4 linked regions of the Arabidopsis thaliana genome follow. The protein of the gene in region 3 interacts with the protein of the main gene of each other region in a pairwise test. Each region holds a gene or a part of one and is shown on either strand. Other genes may lie near its edges. The genes, in order: WAT1, AT2G41610, APRL4 and FOLK.

Region 1 (6,627 bases), about 16 Mb from region 3:
GGGAAGAAGCTACAATGTCGTTAGGATTTCCATGGGTTCATGAAGGAGATAATGATATTTCTCGGTTTGATACTTGTATTTCCGGTGGCTATTCTAATTGGGATTCCTTTCATTCCCCACTTTGAGGTGTCACTAGACTCTCTTTAATTGTTAAGTTATCATATACAAACTACATATATATACAAATATAGTCACCGTGAACTAGGATATATATGTAAATAAACACCAGTTACATGTACTTATATATGTGCACATCTATATATGTGGTTTGTCTGTATAGTGTGAAAGCAGATTCTTACCATATCAAAAAAAACATAAAAACGACAGTTGTTTGTCTCGAAGCTAAAAATGTGTCATGGGGAAAACTATTAAATCAAGTGCAATGTATCTGTATAAAGAAAACGGGATGTTACGTTGTGTGTAACGGTCAATGTGTAACTATTATATGTCTCTGTTTCTATGGGCTTTTAAGTCTTTGACTATTCTCTTGGTTTTCTTTGCATCTTCTTCTTAGCTTCTCTTTGTACTAACGTGTAATCCTCGCGAGTCTTGATAGACTATATGGCGTGGTTTATAACAAACCTGGCCCGTTTATTCCGGCCCAACATCATTATATCTCGGCTTATATATGGTCTCCAGTCTCCAATAACGGGCTATATATGATTTAACTAATGGATTCAAATACGAAATCTTGAATCCACATGGTAGACTAACCTATGCCAGATAACGATTATGAGACAAAGTCGCTTATGCACTGTGTTTTTCCTTATGTATATGAATTTCTTTTGTTAATGAAATTTATTTGTATAAGGTAAATAAGATATGAAATTCTGTTAATGAACTTCTTGTTTACATCAAATTAAAAGATGATATTTTATATGTAAAAAGCTGACGTGTAAGCTGATCCGAGAAAACCAAGAAAGATAATGTAGAGCATTGAAGTGTATATGTGAAATTTTTAACACGTTCTCCTTAAAATAATGCTTTTATCCGTCTATTTCAAACAAAATTCTAATATTGGACCAAAAATTATATATCGAACAACACATCTTTCTCAAGTTAGCTAAACTTTAATACCATGTTAAAATCTATGGACTTTCAACTCAAGAATTGGTCCATACTATAACTTAGTTGGTCCATATTATATTATATATATTAAATGTTGGTTTATTTTTAACTTGTTCATTCGGTTAAGAATTTTTATTGGATATTTGATAATAAACTAAATTTGTAAAAAAAAACTGTTTCTTTAAGAGATCATTTTAATCAAATACTAAAGATCTTTTTTTACTTCAGTTCAGAACAAAGCGTTTGATCTAATCCATTTTAAACATCCCCGACAGTGATAATTACTAAAGATCATAAATGCAAATTATAACATTCTATTGATGATAAAGGAAAGAAAAACCCCACAAGAAATGTAAGAAAAAATGGCACTAATATATCAGCCAGATATTATATATAGAAAAGTCTCAATCCAAAGCTCCCACATAGTCTTCTTCATCACTATCATCATCATCATCATCCTCATGAACAATGATGTCTCATCCACCATTTTTTTTCCTTTCTTCAAAAACCTTTCTTAGGTAATTAATAATTTTTTAGAAAAAAAAAAGAAGAGAAAACACTAAGAAAAAAAGCAGACACAAAAGTCATAAAACACAACGGCACACCATTGTTCCCTTTTAATTGGGTAATGGCATTTGTAATTATTAGCTGGAGAGTGATTTGTCCAAAGTAGTCAAACATTGTCCGTTGACTGATGGAGTAGTGGTGTTGTGATGGACGACTTGATGGAGTTGCGAGAAACAGGTGCACGTTCAATACCATGCTCCGCGGAGGACTGGATCGCTGCCTTCTCAAGCGCTGCAAATTTCCTCTCTTCGCTCTTACCGTACAATACGAAGTAAAGTCCCGCTATGATCAAGACCGCTCCAATAATCCTGCCATTAGAAATATGACATGTGGCACAACAAATTTTAAAATTATTCTTGTTTAGGACCTTGGATTTTATCAAGTATTTATATAAACCACTAATATTATTATAGTTTCATACCCGCCCAAATAAAATTCTTCGCCTAACGCAATAGAAGCCATGATCGCAACGACAAGAGTCTGAACAGGCTGGTAAACAGCAACGAAGACTGGACCCCCTCTGTCAATACACCAAATCTGAACCGCAAACGCGATTCCAGACGCTACGATTCCCTGAAGTTAAATCAATTCATTAGGACCAAATTGATTATTTTGAAACATTAGGGCCAAAAACGAATTAATTATAACAGATGAAAGAAAAACTAACGGCGTAGAGGATGGTGAAAAGCTCCCAACCGGAGTGAAAAACCCAAGCCTGAGAATCTCTTTCACAGAAAGCAGCAATGATCAAGAACTGAATGATTCCGAAGAAACAAGTGTAAGACGTAACCGAGAGCCTCGCTGGATAAGACTTAAGAACCGGAGCTTGGAAAACAAGCCAGCCTGACCACGAGAGACAGTGACCGATTAGGTAGATGCAACCAAGGGTCCAGTTTTTAGGCGCGGCGTTTCCTAGCGGCGCTAAGACGGCGGAGTTTGTGGTGAGTAGATGAGCGTGGAGGTGGCTAGCCGGAGTGTAGATGGTTGGACCTTTATAGAGGGTGATGACGGAAGCTCCGGCGACACAAAGAGCTGTTCCTAAGATTTTGGAGATACCGTCTCTTCTGTTTATTCTTACTTTCTCAATCCTGAATTATTGTTTTTTTCACATACAGTACATAAACAGTATGTTACATTGTTGTTACTACTATGATTATCACTATTTTGTAAGCAAATGGAAACGGCATTAAATATTGTCTACGTGTATTATTATCCGTTTCTTTTACGTTGAAAAGTCAAATGGACATTATTAAAGTGGTTCTTGTATATCCAAGCTGTCCAAAATATTGTTATTTATTTTTATAAATCAAAAGAGAATGAAAATGGAGAGATGTGTAGAGTAAGTGCCTGAGAAGAGCAGCCATGAGAAAGGTAATGGCGGGAACAGAGTTTTGCATGGAGGAAGCAAATGTTGGTGAAGTGTTGTCCAGTCCCAACAAGTAAAATCCTTGGTTCGCTGTTATTCTGTCGTGTAATAATTCATTAACTAATTATCCAAATTTGTTATTGAAAAGATCAGAGTGAAGGATATAAATATATACCCTATGAGTGCCAAAAAGAAGAACTGGATGAGAAAGTTGAGAGTAATCGCTGGTCTCTCCTTCCTAAATTAACACAATTAAGTTTGGTAATTAAATAACTAGCAACTAGAGAAAAAATAGGGTTTTCAAATAAAGAAGTGAAGTGAAAATAGAAGGTTACTTTTCAAGGAAGTAAGCGAAGGGAAGGAGAAGAAGCAAGGCGATGATGTTACGATAAACAGGGAAGACGAGTTTGCTGATTCCCATGTTAAGAGCAGCTCGAGACACCACGTGGAATCCGGCGTAACCGAATTGCAACGTCAGCATCGCTATGTGAAGCTGAAGCTTCTCCGGAACTCCCCATAAGGATCTCCGATTATCGGTGTTATCCGCCATTGGATCGAGCTTAACAATCGATCAACGAAGGAAAAAGGCTGTGTGTGTGTGTGTTTGTGTGTGTTGATTGAGGAAAAGAGTGAAGTTGCGGAGATATAAATATAGGTAGATAGCAATCTCATTCCCCTCTTTGCTTGTGGGAACCACCATACTGAGATTTCTAATATGGTATCTATTAAACCTAATTATAACAATGTGAAATATTGAAATATATATATATATATATATATATGGATTTAGGTATATTAATGAGTTTTTGTTGTTTCCTATCATTTGATGTACACACCAAATATTGTTACTTTGGTCTACTGGCAGCATTCACTCCTTGATTATGATTTTTGAATTGGGAAATAAAATTTTAATTTATATTATTATTTCTCTATTGGGTTATATCAAGTATGATAATAATATAGGTTACTTTTTGTTTTACTATTATTACGTTCATTATTATTTTGTTTACAAAGCACACACACAACATAAATATATTTCAGGGAAAATCGCAAAAGGAGAAAGAAAAACTCAACGTATGATAGTTTTACCTAAGAAATATGATTTCTTTTGAGATATTAAAATAAACGATTGTGTTTTCGGATTTTCTTGGAAAAAAAAGACTCTTGAATTGAAAACTATCATACACTATTCTACTTAGCCTTATTGGAAACTATGACCACGTAAACAAAGTCGGGTTAAACTTATAATCAAACACGTTCACATGCACTTACCGTTACCAAAACGAGATAATAAAGTGACAACGTCTCACTAAGTCACAACTTCACAAACATTTTGTGGATGTTGGTACATCTCATATGTTTTAAAATCAAAATTTGAAGACATTCCCAAAATTTTGGACACTATATTTAACATTTATCATCAGCTTTTGTTTCACAACATGATACATTGTTAGTTAATTATATGCTTTCAAAACAACCAACTTTTCATTTATTGATTTCTAACAAGAAGAAACGACTATGAAGCTGTTGGTTAAATCTAAATCGATTAAACAAAGGGCCCGCAAATTTTTAACTGTGTACTATAGTGTTTTTAGAAAATAAAGAAGAGAGCTTAAAAATGTGTAAAAGGGCAAAGCCTGTCTCCCACATTCTTTTATTTTTCTGCTGTTTAGCTGACATGACAACCCTCACGCCACTACTCATTAACGCAACCATCATTATGATTCTTAATTTTTTGTATATCTAAAATCATTTAATTCTGAAAATCAAAAAGGTAAAAATAACAATAGAAAAAGCACAAAATATATCATTATTTACGACTCTATTCCTCAATTTGCACTCACTATCGTAGACATTATAATGGTTTTAGTTTGTCCTTTCCTTTGATATTTATTGAGCAGCATGGCATTGCTACTAATTATTACTTGTACAGTATAGTCTTCAGGAGAATAACACTCTTAATTATAAATGTACGACATTTCGTTTTAACATCTTTTATTTACTTTCTTTTTTGGTAAATATATTTCTTGATTTTATTTATGTTACATAATTAATTTTGTAGGGACGAGCCCCACGCGCACTGCCGAACCGTGAGACCCACAGTACCTCTTATTTCGCAGGCACACCCACACGATCAATATTTATGTACACGCTTACACCAATATTATTATCTGTATTTGTCCTCAATTATTTTAGTTTTATTTTTCTTGTTAATTTATTTTAGTTCTATTTTTTTGTGCTCATCGAATAGACGTGTGTAATTGTTTTCCAATAGTCAAATACATTTGTATCCCTATAGAATAGAATCATCGAAAATTTTATGGTTGCTTGCTTGTATATGCTTTCATTTTTCTCTTTCTTTTTGTCTTGTTATTTTTGGAGAGATCGACAATGTAAACCCAGAGAAACCAATTTAGTAAATTGTACACAGAAACATGTGCATATCCACGTGAAAACAAACCAAATATGTATTTTTCTTTCCTTCCACGAATGTATCACGACAAAAGAAATATCATGGCAAAAATTGTTCATGGAATATTATTTTGTCACAAATCTGTTTTAGATAAACTATATGCAGCAACATGTAAAACATAACAAAATATAACAATATGGAATTTTCATTACTTCATTATATTCCATTTCTATTACAAAAATCTTTTTTTTTTATGAACAATAACAAAGATATTTACCTTAACATTTTAATACATCTAGTTAAACTTAGTTATACTTTCACGTTACACTAATTTATCTAATTGCTCTATTTTATAAAATATATTTATTCTACCATTATCCCGATGAACCTAAACTAAAGTTTGTATCCTCTGTTCTTGACATAGATGCTATTCATATCAAAATTGAATAGAAAATATCTCAATACACAGCGAAACATGTTTTTTAATTGTATAAGAAATCATTGTTTCTAATAATATCATACTTCTGTAAATATTTTCTACATTTATAGAAAATTGTTCCTACAAAATTAAAAATTTATCAAAATATATAAATAACTAGTTGTAGTTCTAGCTACAAACATTATCACTAAAACAATTTTGTTAAAACATTTCCAGTAATCCTAAAGAAGGGATTATTTTGGGACATTCAAAATGATATCAGCATTTTAAAAAAAAATCGAAACAGTTTTGTAAAATCTTACTAGATTAGTTGTAGAAAAGCTTCTTACAAGAAAAGGTTGTGACGTTTTTTGAAAACAAATTTTATGGTGTAGTTTCGGGGTAATCCTAAATTAAAATAAATAAAAAAACTTAAGAAAGGTCAAAGGAGTATGTATATATGTGATGAAACTGGCCGTGCAAGTGGTACACGTATGCTCAACCGTATCCATAATGCCATTTGTCGAGGCAGACCCCTTCATTAACTATACTGAGATTTCCAAATCTGTCTACAATTCTTGTAAATGATTATTTCATCATAATAAAAATACGTAGTTTGCCAGAGGTCTTGGCATGAGTTTTCCTTCTAATTCATTCAGAATTTGAGGGTTTGATTTACGCGATGATGTGTATGGTAGATAATTGAAAAATATCAATTGTTTCTCCAGGTACTGTTCATAACTAGTAAAAGTGATCTTATTGATGAATATCTTGTTATTGTATGTTGAAATTGGG
Region 2 (5,381 bases), on a different chromosome or scaffold from region 3:
CCTTCTAGGGTTTTGTTACCATGGCTAAATCGTGATTCTGCAGTTTTTATCCTTGGTTATCTGACCGTAATAGCTACTTACTTTGGATCTTATTAGAATCTGAAATCTGAGAAAATAATCTAATAGATAGATCCTCTAGGTTCCAAGTTTTCTTAGTTTATGAAAAATAATTTCTGCATGGGCCGTATAAGCCCATATCCTATATTTCCTTATTGCCAAGATTTATATCTTTTATAGCAAGTTCGTAATATTCTCGTAATATTCTCTTAATATTCTCTTAGGGCAACAGTACTTGTATGTATATATTTCATGATGAATGAAAATAACAGAGTTTTCACAACTAAACGAGTTCGTGAAGCATTGGTATTTCTACCGCCTTGGCTTGGTTTATGTACACCGAGTATGTTCAGCTCCATCCTATACAGATTTTGGGACATGTGCCTAGGGTTGAGGTTTCATATATAGAAAGAACTGAACAAACTCGGTGTACATAGACCAAACCAAGGCGGTATCAACTACTAATACCCTATCAGGAGAATCCAGACTCTCCATATCACACCAATATAAATTTCTCTTAGTGCTCTTCTTACTAGATCCTTCACCATACTCTCGGTGAAGTACTTTGAGTGCATTTTTGCTTATAAAGTTGTTTCTGGTATAAATCATAATAATAAAATAAAAACTAATTTCGCACAAAAATTCACTTGCGTACTTGATTAACAAAACCTTCTATATATTATTAGTGTTTGAGCAAATTGTTAGGGCTAGAAATATTTTTTTATGTAGACTAATCATTGATTGACAAAAAAAAAATTAAAAATTTAGACTAATCATTTATAGTTTACCTAAACCTACTTTACGCCGGCTTATGGTTGAATTCTACGTGGATTTAAGCATAAGTTTACAATAGCCATAGTAATTCGGTAAGTACATGCTTTTGGGTCCTTATCATCTCTATTGGTGTGGTCATATCTGAATAAGCAGAGCTACTACGGATCACGAATCTCTTCTTCTCGTATGTTTTATGTTTAAGTGAGGTTCGATCTAGAATCTCATCAATTAATATCAATAAAAGTACACCCATGATCAATGAGAACTCATGTAACAATAATCTCTGTTCGTAGGTTCTTGGGGATAAATTAGTCATCGGAATAGCATACCAGAGATCGACGATCTCATTAATCATTATGTATAAGTACAAACTTCGTAAAACTATCCAATGCTACAAATAACAATACAAGATAGTACAGTGGTACCACCTAATTATTGATATAATTCTATGACTTCTGAACTTGAATATGTATGTATGTATGGTTAGTCATATATTTATAAATCTAGGAATTTTATTTTCTTAAGGTTAATCTTCTTTAACAAAGTTTAAATCTAAAATTTAACATTGCATCGCAGTATATATACTAGCTGTAATATAATCTTGTTCAACATTAACATAACCAATATATTGAATTAAAAAGCCAAGACTTATTTATGCCTAGTAGAAGTAAAAAGTCATTTTTTTGTTCGGGTAAAGTGATGAACCAACTCAGAAGGCTTTCAAAAGCAATTTCCTAATGGAATATCTAGCAAATTAGCAAGTGTTACACCACTTTTCTATTTCTTCTTGTTTAAAACTGTAACCACTATCTTGCGTCATCTTGACACTACTACTTCTCACTGTTTTGATTTAACTATTTACAATAAGGATAAATATAAATAGATATAGAAGTAATGTTTAAGTTTTACCATTTCATCATCACATCCAATATAAACTCATCATTAAGCAATCATTTACATTTACTTCATCTTGCCTCTGATTTTTCCTTTTTGTTTCAAATTTCATGTGTCTGATGTCTTCTTACTCTGTCTCCGACTAACCAAACAACATACTTTTGTGATTACATAAACACATATCAACAGAAGAAGAAAACCAAACACAAAAACCCTAAACAAGATAGGCTCTTCAACAGGAGACATAACGGCCAAGTACACACAATCTCTTATAAGAACAAGCAATGTCAGTCCTTGCACAACATTTTTAACCACCAAAACTCTTTTATTTATTCCTTCTTCTTTGCATAACTTGCATATAATCCTCAAAAACAAAACACCAACCACCAAGAACGTTGTACTAGACCATCCTCGGTAAGAGACAATCTTCCCTCCCACTATTAATGGCTCTTTCCTGCATATACAAGACTTGCAGACTCCAGAGAAAGTAGATGTGACCAGAGCATCGAATCCTGTATAATAGGGGAGAATCACAGCGTCTAAGTAAAGACTAGCGTGGAGAATACCAGAGATAGTAGAGGCTTCGAAGAAGACAAAACTCGCTTCTTTTTCGATATTGTTCTCAAATAAAAGCACTGAGAGCTGAACAAGCTGTAGTATCGCAGGTCCAAAGATGGAAATTGGGAAAAGGGTATTGATCCTTTGACCTTTTGCAAGAATCAAGATGATCAAAGGAAGAGAGATTGGACCAGAAGGAAGTAAGTACCTTCTTGCTTTGTCATCATCACCATCATCATCATTTTCTCTTCTTCTTCTTGATATTACCTTCCTTACGACAACAATTAGCGTCGTCAAATAAGTAACCGTAACGAAGAAGAAAACTAGAACGTCGGTGATTTGAGGGTAGTCGCCGGCATAGATGCTGTCGCAGAAATAGTGGAAAGGACAGTTAATAGGATCAAGTGTGTCCTCGAATTGCCACTTTGTGCATTTGAAAAATGTTTTCTTTCTATCAGAATCCATTTCCCATTCTGAATTCATAATTTGTTTGTTTTTTTTGTTTTGATCTATATGTTTTTGGTTTCCTTAGAAGCTACACATATAGTTTATAAGGAGTGTGTGTGACGTGACATCATCATATGGTTGATTCTCTTTCATTGTCTGGTTATAGATGCTTGAACTAAAATGGATAATGAAACTCTATCTGAAATCTGAATTCTATCTTCATTTTTTGTTTATTAATACAAAAAATCACCCTTTGAATGAAACTATGTATTGAGAGAAGCCTTGATCTTCAAGGGAAATAAAAGTTTGGTGTGCAGCTGATGATTGATTGGTTCTGTGTAATTGTTAAATTGCATGATTACGTAACTGAGAATTCGGTTTAACCGTTTAAATTCCGGTCTACTGAAATTGCTACGGAAATAAACCGAATTAAACCGAACCGGATCATGATTCAGTCTACTTTAGTTTTTGTGCTCCGTAGATTGAGAGAAGCCAATTTTAGGGAAAAGAGAGAGATGAGGAAGTTGAATCCGCTTCTGAAACGAGGCTTGAAGGCTATTGAAAATGGTGATTTGTTGAAGATCCTCCAAAGTGAAATTCGTCACGAAATCTCCCATCCTCGTTTCCAGGTAAATTGTTGTCTTCCTCTTTCCTTCTTCTTCTTCGTTGCTCTCAGTAATCTCTCAATTGAGTTTTAAGATCAATGGTGCTCAACATTAGTTCGATCAGACTCTGTCAGTTTCAATTTCATTTTTCTGAATTGATGAACATTAGAGTGATTTACCAGATGGGCGAATTTGAATTTGATGTTGGATCTCATAAACCCTAGGATTTTAAGTACTTACATTCTACCTTTATGATTTTGCTTTGTGCTTGAACCCCACAGGGCGTTGAGACCGGTTCTCTAGGAGATTTCAAATTGGATTGGGATTCACCGGAAAGCCAAGATATTGTTCTGAAGAGACAGTTTGATTCAGGCGAGAAGGTTGTGGTCTCTGCTTTATTGCAACCAGAACCTATAGAACTAGAAGATGATTTAGTGTTTCCTAGGGAAGCTCATGCCAAAGTTTGTATCAAAAAGCCTGGTCTCAGCTCTATCTTGCAGTTTCATTGCCGGGTTTACGAATCAGGATCTGGATCTTCTCATTTCGACATCGAGAGCGCCTACTTTATCCGCTCTTTTGTTTCTGCTCCTTCTTCCACTTATGGAGACCATTTTTTCAGGTGAAGTAAGCTCATAAATGATAATCTCTCAACATTTTGTTTAAGTTACTTGAATCATATCTGTTTTACTTCATCCAAACCTCAAAGCATTGGGTACACTTCCCATTGTTCTTTCCCTGGAGTAATTGTTCTATATATATTGAAAAAGAAGTAGACTATTAGAGGTTCATGTGTCTGCATATGTTTGATTTCAATGACCAGTGTTATTTTCTTTGTTTCTTTAGCCAAGTAGATCCCAAACTACACAGTGCACTGGAGCAATACCTAATATCTAAGGGGGTCAGTGAAGGCTTAACTAATTTCCTTTTGTGTCACCTGAACAAGAAGGAGCAGGATCAATACGTTAACTGGTTACGCAGGCTTGAATCAACTATGTCACATTCTCCAAAGCCGTGAGTGTTTACTCCATAAGCTCATTTCTTTTCAAGTTTTGTTTTTGGAACAATGGTAAAATGCCTTAGGAGTAGTATTATTAGCTAAGAGAGTCCTTGCAATGGATGTTTTGAGGGAAGATGTATCGACGAATACATGTTAACTGTAATATTTCCAACAAATGGGACCCCAAATCGTATGCTTTTGAATTTTCAAGCAAGCTTGGTTTGATCTTTGATCTTTCAAGATGATTAGTCATGAGATAGTGAGTAGTAATCGACATCTACATAACCACCCTCATTCATGTATTTATCTTTGTAAATCAATACTTGACCTATAATGTCTTTTGATCTTTCTCCGAAAGGACTAAAAAGTGAGAAAATGCAATAAAAAAAAATTTACGAACAAAAAAAAGGCAAATGAGAGAGAACAAAAATTCGGAGCACGCAGCGTCAAGCAAGCATCACTTAACACTAAAAAGAACTTATGTTAGTAAAATTATTCTGGAAAAGATAAATCAGTTATTGTGTGAATACTATAGTGTTAACGTGACATAACATCATAGGAAAACGATAAAAAAAGCATAGATCTTGAGGTATCTTTTTTTTTTTTTTTCTCTCTGAACTGATATCTTTTCATTGATAACATTTTAAGTTCTTACAAAAAGTTGATCAGTGGACTTTCCACTTAAACATAAAAGGCAACAAGCCTATTCCAAACTGAAACATAAACTAAGACAATGCTGAATTTAAAGATAAGTAGGAGTATGTCCTAACCAAAAACCATACTCATCTATTATATCTTGAAGCTGCTTTTCTTGTTGACCTGCAGTCTTCAATCCAAAAGGAGTATCTTGAAGCTGCTTCCTTGTTAACCTGCAGACTTCAATCCAAAAAAAACAGAAGTTGGTAGAGTGTTTAGCGTTTCTTCGGAGGTTTCAGTATCCCTCCTGATCTTTGCACATAGTTCTGTTGATTGAGATTCCCAATCCTCTCTGACCCTCTTCTTAAATCCCGAACATCATGTCTTCTTGAGGATTGACCAGGTTCAAAGTG
Region 3 (6,042 bases):
TTTCGATGTAATGTTCTATGCAAAGTGGTAGAGTGGAAGTCAAAAGTACATTATAGAGATTTGTTTAAGAACCTAAAGTTGTAGTTAGAGAGCAAAGTTGTAGAGTAGAAGTCAAAAGTACATTAATTCGATCTCTTACGATCTTTTTTGGTTTCGGTGTAGTGTTCTCACAATTCTGGGAATCATAGTTAGAGAGCAAAGTTGTAGAGTGGTAGTCACAAGTACATAATATAGATTTGTTTAAGAACCTAAAGTTGTAGAGTGGAAGTCAAAAGTACATTAATTCGATCTCGTACGATCTTTTTTGGTTTCGGTGTAGTGTTCTCATAGTTCTGGGAATCATAGTTAGAGAGCAAAGTTGTAAAGTGGAAGTCAAAAGTACATTATATAGATTTGTTTAAGAACCTAAAGTTGTAGTTAGATAGCAAAGTTGTAGAGTGGAAGTCAAAAGTACATTAATTCGATCTCTTACGATCTTTTTTGGTTTCGATGTAGTGTTCTCACAGTTCTGGGAATCATAGTTAGAGAGCAAAGTTGTAGAGTGGAAGTCAAAAGTACATTATGTAGATTTGTTTCAGATCCTAAAGTCTCTATGATGAATTAGTTTTTAGAGTGAAATCAAGAGTATATGATAGTCACACACTTGATTTAAGAATTTGTTTGTTGACGTCTTTTTTCTTGCATCTATATGTTTCTCAACATCCTTAGAAACCCTTTGGCATCATTTGAAGCGAATGGGATTGCATGAAAATGATGAGCATAATCCTGTGTTTGGGAACAACAAGCAGACCCTGGAGACATTAGTCCAACAAAGGTGAGACCTTTCGTTAACCTTGTGCATAACTCTGCAAGGAATAAACGACTGAGGTGGTTTTCATAGTTCTTCTCAAAAGGTTTCGTCCTTTTTACAGGTTCTTGCAGAAGGAGAAAGTAAGTGGCCCTGAGGGTAGTACTTTGTTTTACGATCTTGCAGAGAGAGCGCTAGATCCTCAAGTTAGCGAGAAAGTAAAAGATTACATTTCACAGGTACTACATAAAGAACATACTTCTTCTTTGTTGATTTTAATCATCTATTTTCAGCTTTGACTAAGATTTGGTATTATGTGAAATGCAGATCCTTAAGAATGATGTAGCAGTTGTAGAGCTTAATGATTAGAGGAAGATTTGGCCTTAGAGACTTAACCAAACAGATTGGTGCATGTCTTTGACTCATGTATTTTGTAAAATTGCCTTGATTATGCAATGTGAGATGTGAAGTTTCTTGAGAAAACAAGATAAGCAATAGACCAATTCTGATATAATATTGACAAAAAAATATGAATTTGACTTTTATAATTTTGCCATCTGATGACATATACACTTCTACTACAAAATGTTCAGCTATGAATTAAGCCCTCTCCAAAGTTGTTGGTCTAGAGGAACACTGCTGATTATACAGGACAAAGGGTAAAACTTTAACCTGAAAAGCTGTAACAGAAACATGATACAGCCAAACACATTTTAGCTGTGACCATATTTGCTAAAATTATAGAATTATGAAGTCACTGAGAAGATGAACTTCTTCTGTTTGATGAGCTTGAATCCCCAATTGAGACAGTGGCCAAAGACTTAGAGGCCCATGCTCTAGCGTTCATAGCCCCTCCCTGCAGATTGCTTCTTCTATGCATGCATAATTGTACAGCTCGGCTTAGAAACCCGACGGTATGTTCTAGCAGGCTTTCTAGTCTCATGTTCTGAGCAATCCGTCTCCAAGTGAACTTCATAAACACGACGAGTGTAGGATATATCAAGTGAAGCAATCTCAACAGGACGAATACAATGGCAAGAGCTAGATAGGTCTCTTGTCGAAGCATATTCTCAGGCGATCTTGCCCACGTGAATGGACAGTTTTCTGGCTCTGTGTTGTTTTCGTTACCGAGATGAGGAACTGATACGCTTCTCTCGAGAGAAGTTTTATCCAATGTCTCAATGCCTACAATCTCATAACATTCCTTGTTAGTTCCACTAGTTGAGCTATTGATCATAAACAACTACTACCATCACACAAAACCAACTCTTTAGTATCTACTAAATGCCTAACCTCACTACAAAAACACTATCCACATCAGGGTAAATACAGAACAGAAGACTAGATATATGAAGCCTTACCGGTAACATCACTGTAGAAAGCAACAAGAGAATCAAGCATTCGGGTTCCTCGGTATCGTGCCCGCATTGTCGAATTCAAAAGTAAGAGAGTGGGAAACCCATGAACTCCATACTTGGAAAGGGTGCTGCAGCACAACAAATAACCAAAAGATCATCACCAAAACAGAACCAAAAGGAATTCGTTTGAGACCAGTTTAAAGATTATCACCTAGGCTTAATGGATGATTCCTTAATGGCAAAATGAGGAATGGAGGAATAGAGAGAAGAGATAACATCGAAACTCGGTCTAAATGACCTTGAGAATGGACACCATGATGCATAGAAAAGCAAAGCCACATAATCACACTTGTTCTTATGAATCATATCCAATGCTATTTGCAACCAACGCTCATCACCCTTCACCAACATTTGATGACATTCATAAGAAACGAAAGATAGATTCTTTATCAAGCAGAAACCCTAGAAATTGAAATCCGAGCTCTAATTTAAATTACCTCGGTGACAGCAACAAAACGAGGACGCTCGTCTGATTCAACACCAGAAACAGAACAAGTCTGATCTCGAAGCCCAAAGATTGAATCTTTAGCAGATTTCGTAGCACAAAACGGAACCCTAACGGCGTCGACGTCGGCAACGGTTAAAAACATGATGACCAATAGCAACAACAAGATCTCCTTCTCCATTAAAAAATACCCAGAAGCTCTCTCTCTCTCTATCTCTATTTCTCTCCCTACGAAATTCACAGAACCCAGAATAGAAATTTGTTGTTGTTGCCGACAAATTGGAAACAGGTGAGAGGTTGATGTTTCTGGGAATTGAATCAATGATGTTTCTTTACTGAAGAGATATTTATGCAGCGGTAATGGAATCTGTTATTTGAGGGAGATATTGAAGAAGAAGAAGAGGTTGTGGTTGCTGCTGGGTACTGGGTTATTGCTCGTAGGAACAAAGCAATTAAGCAAAAAAAAAAAATCTTACAAAGTCATGACAAAATTAGAAAAAAAAAAAAATCTAAACCAGAATTTTTAATAAACCGGAGTTTTTTTTTAGTAAACTCAGAATTTTTGCTTCAATACGATTTTGATTTCGATTTTGGTTTAGGTCTTTTCTTTATAAAAAATATTACTATATGAACAACTAATATTTGGATATTTCAACACGTGGGAAGAAAGAGTATTATTGACTACTAGTGTTTCTTTAATTAAAAATTATATTGTTTACTCAATACAGTTAATTGTTATTTGAGATTGTTTTTTTTTTTATGTTTTTATTAATATGAGCATTGAAACATATTAAGTTATCGACACTGTTTATATTTGACCATAATGGTCTTAATAAATTAGCATTATAAACACAATTCGGTTGGTTCCTTATGCACAATACGATAATATCTCTCCCTTTTGCAGAGTTCAAGTCTTCTTCAATACAGTTTTTCCGCAAAGTCTTTATATACAGTTTTTTTTCCCACCATATCATGCTTTGTTTTTATTTCCCAATGAAAGAGTAATTCTTGTATACAATTTGTTGATGTGGTGATTGTCTAAGTCCTGAAGTGTACTTAGAGTTGGAATCCTCTCAAGGTAGAAGAAAAACATCAAGTGAATATATGTTTCAATGTACCTTCGATGTTTTGTAGTCACATTTTTACCATGTAATAATTAGAAATGTTTATTTTAGAATATAAGTAAAGAAAACAGAGCATCAAGAGCATTTTTTTTTTTGTCGAAAATTCTGGTTTTCATTAAATGTTAAACCGGTACAGAATTGATTGCGAGTAAAGCAGCTTTAGCAGCTGCATCTGCCTTACGATTGTTTTCTCTCTTGACAAAATGAAAGCTAATATCAGCGAAACTGAGAGAGATAAAAAGGATGTCATGTAGAATCCCTTGAAGCTCCTTTGGATGAAGCTCCCCCACGATTGCTTCGACAAGCTGCTGCGAGTCAGAAGCTACAACAAGTTTTTTGAATCCTCGATTTGACGCCTGTTGGATGGCAGAGAAGAGAGCGATCGCCTTCGCCATTAAAGGGGAAGATACCTCTCTCGCCACTGCGTGATCCTGGATCTCAGAGTGATTTGAGTTATCTACAAAAATCCATCCCAATCCCGCATCATGTGAATCCTCTCGCCACGCTGCATCTGTGAAACACAAGATTGCATCCGATTCAAATTCCGGCACAATTGGTCTTGAAAGCAGAGTCTGGTGTCCCTGAGGTAAAGGCTGAGCCAATAACCATTCTTTTGCAGCCGAAATTGCTTGAGATATGACATCCCGACTAGATAGATGTTTCTACTCAAATATTTTCTTGTTTCTGCAGGTCCAGATTGTCCAAATAATCCAGGGGAAAAGAGGGTTTGAGCCAATTTCCACCAGTGGTAAGCAAATCAGATGTTTAGCCGCTTCAAAACCCATCTGAAGATTGGTAAAAGTGAAGGTCGAAAGGGTATTTTTGAATGGGGCTTGCTCCCAGATCTGTGCAGCAAATAGACAAAGGAAAAACAGATGAAGACCTGATTCCTCTGCACTACAATGTGGGCAAGCAGTTGTAGGGTTGATGCCTCGAGCTTTCAAGTTGGCACCTAGGGGTAAAGCATTCTTCAATACTTTCAATAAGAGAAACTTAATTTTCGGGGAGCATTTCTTTTTCCATATCTCTGAGTTCCAATTGAGGTCACAGGTTGAGGTGGAACTTGTGTATGAAGATTCCGCAAAGTCTTAGCTGCGTAGTAGCCTGTTTTGGTGCTATAATCACCAGATTTCGTGGGAAGCCAGATAAATTTATCCCTAGCAACAAACCTACTTGGTCTGAACTGAAAGATCTCTGATTGGTATTGAGGGAGGTAAGTTGCAATCTTTTCTCTATTCCAAGACTTGGAAATAGGACATATTAAGTCCTTAACAGTCATGAGTTGTGTCTCTTGAGTAGGAGGACCCATTGGGGTTACGGATGATGAGAGAGAGATCCATGGTGCATTCCAAACCAGGGTATCAGCTCCAGAACCAATCGATCTTCCTAGTTGGGACTAGCATCAAGAGCATAGATTTATAAAACTAGACATGAATCCGAAACGGAAGTGTTTAAACAAAACATATTGATCACTTCGTGGCTTTTCAAACAAATTAAAATTGTTACAGAATCTTAGATTGATTAATAAAAAAAGTGAGAGGATTACCAATACTGAAGTAGAGTCATAATTGTAAAGAAATCGATGAAGCTGTATGTGTGAAAAAATTAGTTCGTTCATGCTCAAAGGTCTAAATAAAAAAGACACATACCTTGACACTAATTTCCAACGATGTATTTTACTTGTGAGAATAATTTTGTTATTTCAGCAATACTAAAGACACAAAAGAAGACATATTAAGAAGATTGTGTAACATTTTAACCAAGAACAATGATTATATGAACAAATTTTGTGAAAGATTACCTTCAAGTAGAGTAAGATTTTTGTGCCGAATTCGAAATTTTGGTAGTTTCGATCAAATATGTAGCTTTGCTAACATACTCGGCTTGCAATATGTTGCAACTCTCATTGCTTGGAGTTCCCATTCAAGGCCACAACATGTATGTTCCTCTATTTTTGAATCCCCACAAAGAAGATTAAAGAGGGCTATAATAATTAATTGATAAAAAAGGAATAAACTGGGATTTGCTAAAGTAGGGTTGATTGCTCACCTTTGGATTAACTTAAGTCGATGAGTAATATGATCACCTTCAAAGTAACTTTCAAAGTAACAACATACTCAAAATCACGAACATTAAAATTGAAGTAAAAAAACCGTTGTTGAAAAAGTCAATTAATTTTTTGTTTTATTTTTATTTTAATCCTTAAATTAGTGAAAAAGGTGAAAATGTATAATTTTAGACTTAAGACACATGGTATAATGATAAGGC
Region 4 (6,946 bases), on a different chromosome or scaffold from region 3:
ATACAGAAACGAAATCGCCGTAGAATCAGAAAGCTTACACTGTAGAGCCGAGTCGCGACGGTGAACGGAGGAGGGAGAGAGAGTTTTTTCTCTCTCGATCTGTTGAATTTTACATCGGCGAAGAAACCACCAATCATGACTTGCCACGGCACCCAGGCCAAGCTAAAATATTAAACGGCAAGCGTTTCTTTACTTAATCATATAAACGACACGGTTTTCCTTCTCACCGTCACCTCGAATAGAAAGAAAACGACACTCCACGTCATCTAATTTCTGTTATGATTTTTTTATTAAAAGCCCATCTCATGGCCCATTCAAATCTCTTTTTTTTTTTTGCAGCACCCATGCAAAATCTCAGTAGAGCACACCTCGATTATAGCTTCTTCTTCTAGTTTGGCACAATTGCTTTTTTGTTTCTTCTGAAAATGTCTCTTTCAGAACCATTCAATTAATACAAGCATACCACGTTTTCTTCTATTTCGAGAATGCGTGAAGAAGTTAGCAATTTTAAATGGGCCAAATCAAAGAGTAATTAATTTTTGTATTCATATAAATAAGGGCAGAAGAAGAAGCAACTAACATGAGACACAAGGTCGCTTCTCTCTTGAGGAAATTTCCGGGAAAGTCACGGAGTCGGTTATGGGAGCCACACGAAAAGGATTTTCTTCAAATTACGAAAACGACGTCGCACGTAAGATCCAAAAAGACCCAATCCAACGCCCCATATGTAGAGAGCAATCACTAACGAACGTCCCAGTCTCACTTTCTACACCAACCTTTATACAAAAATCCATCTACTAAATTATCCCAAAGAAATATATTTAAACTCTTCTTTTCTTCTGTGGTGACATATTGTTTTCATTTGATACATATTCTCCCAAGTCAAATTTATATTTCAGAGAGGAAAAAGAAACAGACACAAATCCCTCCAAGATGATGCATGACAGTATGAAGTAGGTATGAGCAAAGGAGTTGAGATTTGAGAATATTTGAGATTACCTCTCTAATGGTAACTTCTACGGTGGAGGCCTCGAGTCCTGAAGATGGCGAACGACTTACTTTCACTAGAGACAGACACTACGCCATGCATGGTGAGATCTTGACGGTAGTTCTTGTCATCAGCTTCGCCGTCTTCCTCTTGTTCCTCGTGTTGCTTCCTTGTCTGAAACGCCGTTACAGTCACCAGTCCGACCTGTCAGAAGAGGCTTCCTGGAGCGGGACACTCAAGCCCTCACCTGTTGTAAGCAAACAATCCATTTCCACATAGCCATAGGCCAAATAACAAACAAACATGTATTGAATATCTGTTACAAAAGAGTATCTGTTACAAATTGTAGAAGCGTCACTGTTCGTCATCATATGTCTCACTAATGGATAGAACATTACAACATTGTACCCAACTGCAATTGCAGCTGAAAAATAAGATTTGTGGACAACAACAATATGAGATGTTTCACTAATACGTACATACAGAAGAAGATGGGAACAATGAATGCAGTTTTACCTCCATATCAGCAATCAAGCTCGACCCTTTATTTGATGATACATAACAACGAGAGGGTATTATTAGAAGAGTAAGAATCCGGCCAAGGCAGAGGTTAAGGAAATGGTGAGATTGTCGTCAATGTCGGTGCTTATTGGGAGTGATTCCACAAGAGCTGATGCTATAGAGATGACGAGGAAACGAAGAATCATTCCCCCGCTATCCTCGATGTAACCAAATGAAGCAAAGTAGTACATATACGCAACAGATGCTAGAAACCCGGCGGTGGCCATTCCAATGCTACCAGCAAATGATTTGTTTTTGTTGTAAGGAAGCTTCTCTGTTCCAAACCGCCGACCCACAATGTCAGCCATACCTTTTAACAGCAAGTGTGTGTATTAGAATCATCATTCAATGGATTCAAATTCCTAAGACAAAAGTTGCTAATGTTATTGGATCAAACCAGAGCTAACTGTACTTACCATCTCCTGCGCAAAGGTTGCATATCACCGCAATCGCGATTGGGGATGATTTCCAATAGTAGATGCAGGCTGATGTGATTGACAGTACATAGTAAAGCGGCCCCTTAAGTAGTTCCCTGATGCAGAGAGCGACTACAGACACTTTGTGAAGTGACAAAAGCAATAATAAACAGACAAACCGAATTTTGATCATAGATACCAAGAATGCTAAGAGATTGTTGGATATTGTGACAGACACTTGTTCGATTCAGCTACCTGCGATCTCCATGTCTGCTCATTGACTTGATTGTTCCTTCGTCGTGGTACACTCCAAGCCCCAGCAATAGCATCCTTACTATATTGAGTCCAGGTACAAGAGATGCGAAAAGTGCTCCTTGGATTCCAGAACTGAAACAATTGATATCGAAATAAACTGGTGAAGCAGAAAAGCAAGCTGGTACATCAAAATCGATCCTTTCACTCCGTATTATTACCTGAACAGCGGCCAGCAAAGCATAAAAACTAGCCCAATATTTATATGCACAAGCTTCCGGATGAGTTTCTGAAAAATAAGAAATAACACCAATGTCAACCACAGATGTTAAACCAATGCCTCATTCAATAAAACCATGAAAGTGGAGTCAGTCCTACATCAGACAGCCTGTGGATCTTATAAATTCAATGGGTTCTGAGATGATATCTTAATCACGATAAGGTCAGAGAAACAAAATCAAGTAGCTGAAGCCATACAGGTATTCCCAAACCAAAAATGTTTAATAGAATTTTTGCTAATCATAGATAATTCCTCTACTCCTAACCAAATTACTTGAAGAAAAACAAGTCACTGCGGAGAAACACATAAGAGAAAGGAAAAAAAAACAAGCCATGTCCAATATGTGTATAGACTGACTCATACGAAGAAATAATCCTTCAAAGTATAGCAAAGAAATTGTGCAACATTTAAACCTACAAAATTCATATATATCATAAATATGGTTGAATCTTCAAGTTACGATGAGATTGTGATTATACCGCACGAATTTCAAAAAAATTTCATCCCCAAATTGGGTTCTGAGCAATTTTCCCACTAATTTACCAGATATGGGGTTACTTTCCCATTGTTTATCGCAGTGTTCTTCCACCCCAAAATAGGTATCCATTCACATTCTATAATTTCTTGAACTAATAAGATTTATTATCCTCGCCATTAATGCCATCCATTACTCGATAAAGCTTACTACTACCATTACTCTGAATCCAAAGTTGCTTTAACCAGAAATTGCAGAATCGAGCAACATTCCAAAAACGTTATTCAACAAATCGACGCGTGTATAATTTAATTAAGTGAATTGAATGATCGAAAACCTGGTCGAAGATGCCACGTTTGCCAATCTCTCCCCAGAAACCGAGGCACGAGAACGCAACGATGCTAGTGACTCCAAACGCGCAGACATCTGATAAAACCGAATTTTCCGGAAACATCACGGCGGCGAGTGAAGACTTGCGGATTTTGGTGGCCGGAAACCTAGAGCTCGATCTAAAGCTAGTCGCGATTCGGACAGTGAGGAATCGTGGAATCGGAGAGAAGAAGGCGAGAGAAGGAGGAGAGTCAACGAGAGGAGATGAAATGAAAGAGCAGCAGAGAACGGAGAGCTTTGTAGTAGTACTAGTAGTTGCCATTTTCTGCAACACTAGAAAACACGACCTTTTCTTCGATTACGTTTTCATTTATTTTTTTTGACAGTAACTGGTTGGTAGTTGTTGTTGCTCAAGCACACAAAATTTGGTTTGTTTTATTGTTTACCAAAAAGATGGTGAAAAGTGGATATTTATTTCCCCAAAAGGAGTGTTTTACTTTATCTGGTCACATATGGATTAAAGCAATTTTAGTTTCGTTCTATTTGGATTCGGCTAGAATGGTTCATGACATGGTGGTGTTCGTTTGAGGAAACGCATAATTTGTTATTGTGGGCCTAGTTTGGGCTTTATATTCGCTAAATAATTTGGGCTGGTATAAGTCAACTAGACGGACCACAATTTGATTTCATCAAATAATTTTTCATGATTAATAAATCCCTAATTTAGTTACGAAACACAATTCAATTATTGTGCTACTCAGATTCGAGAAACATAAAAAAAAAAAAAAAAAAAGTGATTCAGATTCCCTCACATGGGTTGCCGAGACACATGACCACACGTCTCTTGCCTTGTTTAATCTTTTATCAATTTTGCATCAACTTGTATATACCATAAGAAAATTATTTTAATTGATTTCAATGTGAGATTTTCTTTAGTATTTTTTGCATCAAATAATGCCAACCTAATCCTCAATTATCCATCTTTATTTTTTTTCTGAAACAATCTTATATTATTTATCTGTTGGCAAAAGAAAAAAAATCCTCAATTATTTCGCAAATGGTATATATGTTTATCTTTAAAGAGTACACTTGCATGTGTTTTCCAGGTGTGCGGGCAAAAGAACATCAGAATTGGTTCTGGATATAGTTCTCTCCACTTTTTATTTGTTATTGTTTTAATACAGTACGTTTTATGAGAGTTTTTTATATATATAATAAATTATGCGTTTCCTGATAGTTGTTGGTCCAATATCGAGAACAAAAAAAACTAACTACAAGCTAAAAACCTAAAACTATGAAGATCTCAGAAAATATAAATATACACGCTCACGTTAGCGAGTAAAAAAGTAGACACCAGATTAACAAATGATTAGTGTGATCACAGTAAAGAAATGTTTTGCAAAATTTTAAGCAATTTTTTGAAATCATGTTGTATGTAATAAATTGAGTAAATTCATGCTGTACATAAATTAAAGACCATTTCTTTGTTAGTCATTGAAATCATAACCAATCAACCAATAAAACTGAATTTTTTTCGTTCATTAGAGAGATAAGTTAATATCTTCAAAGTTTAATGTTAAGCTCAATTGTTTAGATAGGAGATAACCGATAAGAAACCACATAACTAGTTAACCTACCTATCTTGGCATCACATGAATCAATGACGTTGGATAGTCAGAGAGGCTTATTTTAATTATACCCGAAACGAACCAACCATCTATAATTCTCTAAACTATATTTAATCATCATATAACTCTGTAATAAACCCAAATTTTCACAAATTAAAAGCCATACCAATATCTTCAAATATGGAAAAAAATAACAATTTAACAAAGAAACAAAATATTTCCTCACCAAAAAAACAGAAACAAAATATTGTTTTAAAAAAGGAAAGTGGTCTTTACACAAAAAGGAAAGAGAAAGGAAAGTGGTCTGGTTCGTATCGCACCCAATAAGAACCACCAACTGTTGAAGTTCGTAAACTGTTCCACAAAAAAATGCATAAAAGAAAGAAAAACAGATATGAGATTCGACCATTTTTTTTCCATATAAATGTTTTTTGGGTTTGCAAAAATCGACGCCATTACTCTTTTTTCTCCCCAAATTATTGACCTTTTTATAAAAATAATTTATATTCTCAATCACACTTCATCGTCTTCTTCTTCCTCTCTCTCTCTCTCTCCTTTTTGTCTCTGCACTGTGTGTTGTCACCGGAGACAGAGCTTGTGTTTTCAACTCTCTCTCTCTCTCTCTCTCTCTCTCTCTCTCTCTCTCTCTCTCTCTCTTGCTCTCTCCGTCTCCCTCACTCTCTCTTTACTTCAAAATCAAACCCTTTTCTCAGATTTCTGTGATATAGCAAAATGCGCAATCTCAAACTCTTTGAGAGATTTAAAAGCACTCAAGTCCACGCCTTTACTACACAAGACTCTCCCTCTACAAGCAGCAATGGTAGCCCTCGAATGATGAAGTTCCTTGGGCATCCCAAATCCAAATCTCGTTCACTTCTCCCTCATGGCTTTCCCACCACAGACCTCCTCGAGCCTCCCTTGGACTCTTACCTCAAACCTATCGATTTGGTGGAGTCATTATCAAATCTATATCGGAGAATCGAGTCCAGTTCGGAATCCGAGGCATCGATGCTCTACCTTGAGCAGTACGCTGTTCTCCGCAGTCTCGGTGATGCCAAGCTCTTGCGTAGGTGCCTTCTCAACGCTAGGAGGCACGCCATTGATGTCCCTTGTAAGGTTGTTTTCTCTGCTTGGTTGAGATTTTTTAGGAGAGAACATGAACTTGTGGGAGTTGAATCTATGGATTGTAATGGGCTTGCTTCTGAATGTCCGAAGACTAGTTTGACTCATGGTTGTGATTTGAATGTAGACGACGAGGGTTGTGAATGTTCTACGGTATGTGAGGATGAATTTGGTAGTGATGACGTTAAAATCTCTAAGGCTGATGAGTTTTCGGGTCTAGATGAGGTTAGCGATATTTCCTTCTGCGTAGGTTCAGAGAAGGCTAAGTGTGTTAGGTCGAGAATCGCAGCGCTTTCGCGTCCTTTTGAGGCCATGTTGTATGGTTCTTTCGTGGAATCAACAACTTCTGAGATTGATTTCTCGGAAAATGGCATCTCTATTGAGGCAATGTTGGCACTCAACATATATAGTAGAATCAAAAGAGTTGATCTGTTTCGTGTGGAAACTGTATTTGAGCTGCTTCAATTAGCCAGCAAATTCTGTTGCGATGATCTGAAGTCTGAATGTGAGGCTCGCTTGGCTGCTTCTGTCACTGACCTTGATAAAGCTTTAACCTTTGTAGAGTACGCGTTGGAGGAACGCACAACGCTTCTCTTATCTGCTTGCTTGCAGGTGTTTCTGAGAGAGCTTCCTCAGTCTCTTCACAATCCCAAAGTGATGAGATTCTTCTGCAGTTCCGAAGCAAAAGAGCAATTAGCTTTTCTGGGTTCAGAGTGTGTGTTCCTGTTGTACTACTTCCTCAGCCAAGTAGGCATGGAAGAGAAACTCACGACGGACACTATGCTGATATTGCTAGAGAGAACTCGAGAGTTTGCTCGTACAAACTGGCAAAAGGCTTTGTCTTTGCATCAAATGGGATGTGTTCTGTTTGAGAGAAAGGATTACAAAGCAGCC

The links.
Region 1: the proteins of APRL4 (region 3) and WAT1 interact in a protein complementation assay, tested with the Arabidopsis thaliana proteins (one large-scale study listed by BioGRID).
Region 2: the proteins of APRL4 (region 3) and AT2G41610 interact in a protein complementation assay, tested with the Arabidopsis thaliana proteins (one large-scale study listed by BioGRID).
Region 4: the proteins of APRL4 (region 3) and FOLK interact in a protein complementation assay, tested with the Arabidopsis thaliana proteins (one large-scale study listed by BioGRID).

What each region holds. Positions count from the first base shown.
Region 1 is NC_003070.9:28,336,541-28,343,167, forward strand, and holds WAT1 (Walls Are Thin 1), read right to left. Parts: upstream 3,736-6,627; 5' UTR 3,552-3,735; coding exon 3,337-3,551; intron 3,240-3,336; coding exon 3,177-3,239; intron 3,100-3,176; coding exon 2,983-3,099; intron 2,724-2,982; coding exon 2,303-2,723; intron 2,209-2,302; coding exon 2,057-2,208; intron 1,944-2,056; coding exon 1,742-1,943; 3' UTR 1,648-1,741; exon of another isoform or gene 1,242-1,647; 3' UTR 1,186-1,241; downstream 1-1,185. Other genes in the region: AT1G75490 (Integrase-type DNA-binding superfamily protein), read left to right, coding at 1-125. UniProt on the Arabidopsis thaliana protein: Required for secondary wall formation in fibers, especially in short days conditions. Promotes indole metabolism and transport (e.g. tryptophan, neoglucobrassicin and auxin (indole-3-acetic acid)). May prevent salicylic-acid (SA) accumulation.
Region 2 is NC_003071.7:17,344,566-17,349,946, reverse strand, and holds AT2G41610 (uncharacterized protein), read right to left. Parts: upstream 2,791-5,381; 5' UTR 2,767-2,790; coding exon 1,834-2,766; 3' UTR 1,708-1,833; downstream 1-1,707. Other genes in the region: AT2G41600 (Mitochondrial glycoprotein family protein), read left to right, coding at 3,177-3,359, 3,617-3,954, 4,179-4,350; AT2G41590 (Ta11-like non-LTR retrotransposon), read right to left, coding at 5,244-5,381.
Region 3 is NC_003070.9:12,747,294-12,753,335, forward strand, and holds APRL4 (APR-like 4), read right to left. Parts: upstream 3,214-6,042; 5' UTR 2,832-3,213; coding exon 2,643-2,831; intron 2,545-2,642; coding exon 2,357-2,544; intron 2,274-2,356; coding exon 2,149-2,273; intron 1,973-2,148; coding exon 1,542-1,972; 3' UTR 1,278-1,541; downstream 1-1,277. Other genes in the region: AT1G34770 (melanoma-associated antigen G1-like protein), read left to right, coding at 709-814, 912-1,026, 1,115-1,156.
Region 4 is NC_003076.8:23,667,191-23,674,136, reverse strand, and holds FOLK (Phosphatidate cytidylyltransferase family protein), read right to left. Parts: upstream 3,871-6,946; 5' UTR 3,625-3,870; coding exon 3,310-3,624; intron 2,507-3,309; coding exon 2,439-2,506; intron 2,353-2,438; coding exon 2,221-2,352; intron 2,082-2,220; coding exon 1,966-2,081; intron 1,860-1,965; coding exon 1,567-1,859; 3' UTR 1,268-1,566; downstream 1-1,267. Other genes in the region: AT5G58570 (uncharacterized protein), read left to right, coding at 1,007-1,267; EOL2 (ETO1-like 2), read left to right, coding at 5,663-6,946. UniProt on the Arabidopsis thaliana protein: Kinase involved in negative regulation of abscisic acid (ABA) signaling. Substrate preference is farnesol > geraniol > geranylgeraniol, but has no activity with farnesyl phosphate. Can use CTP > ATP > GTP = UTP as phosphoryl donor.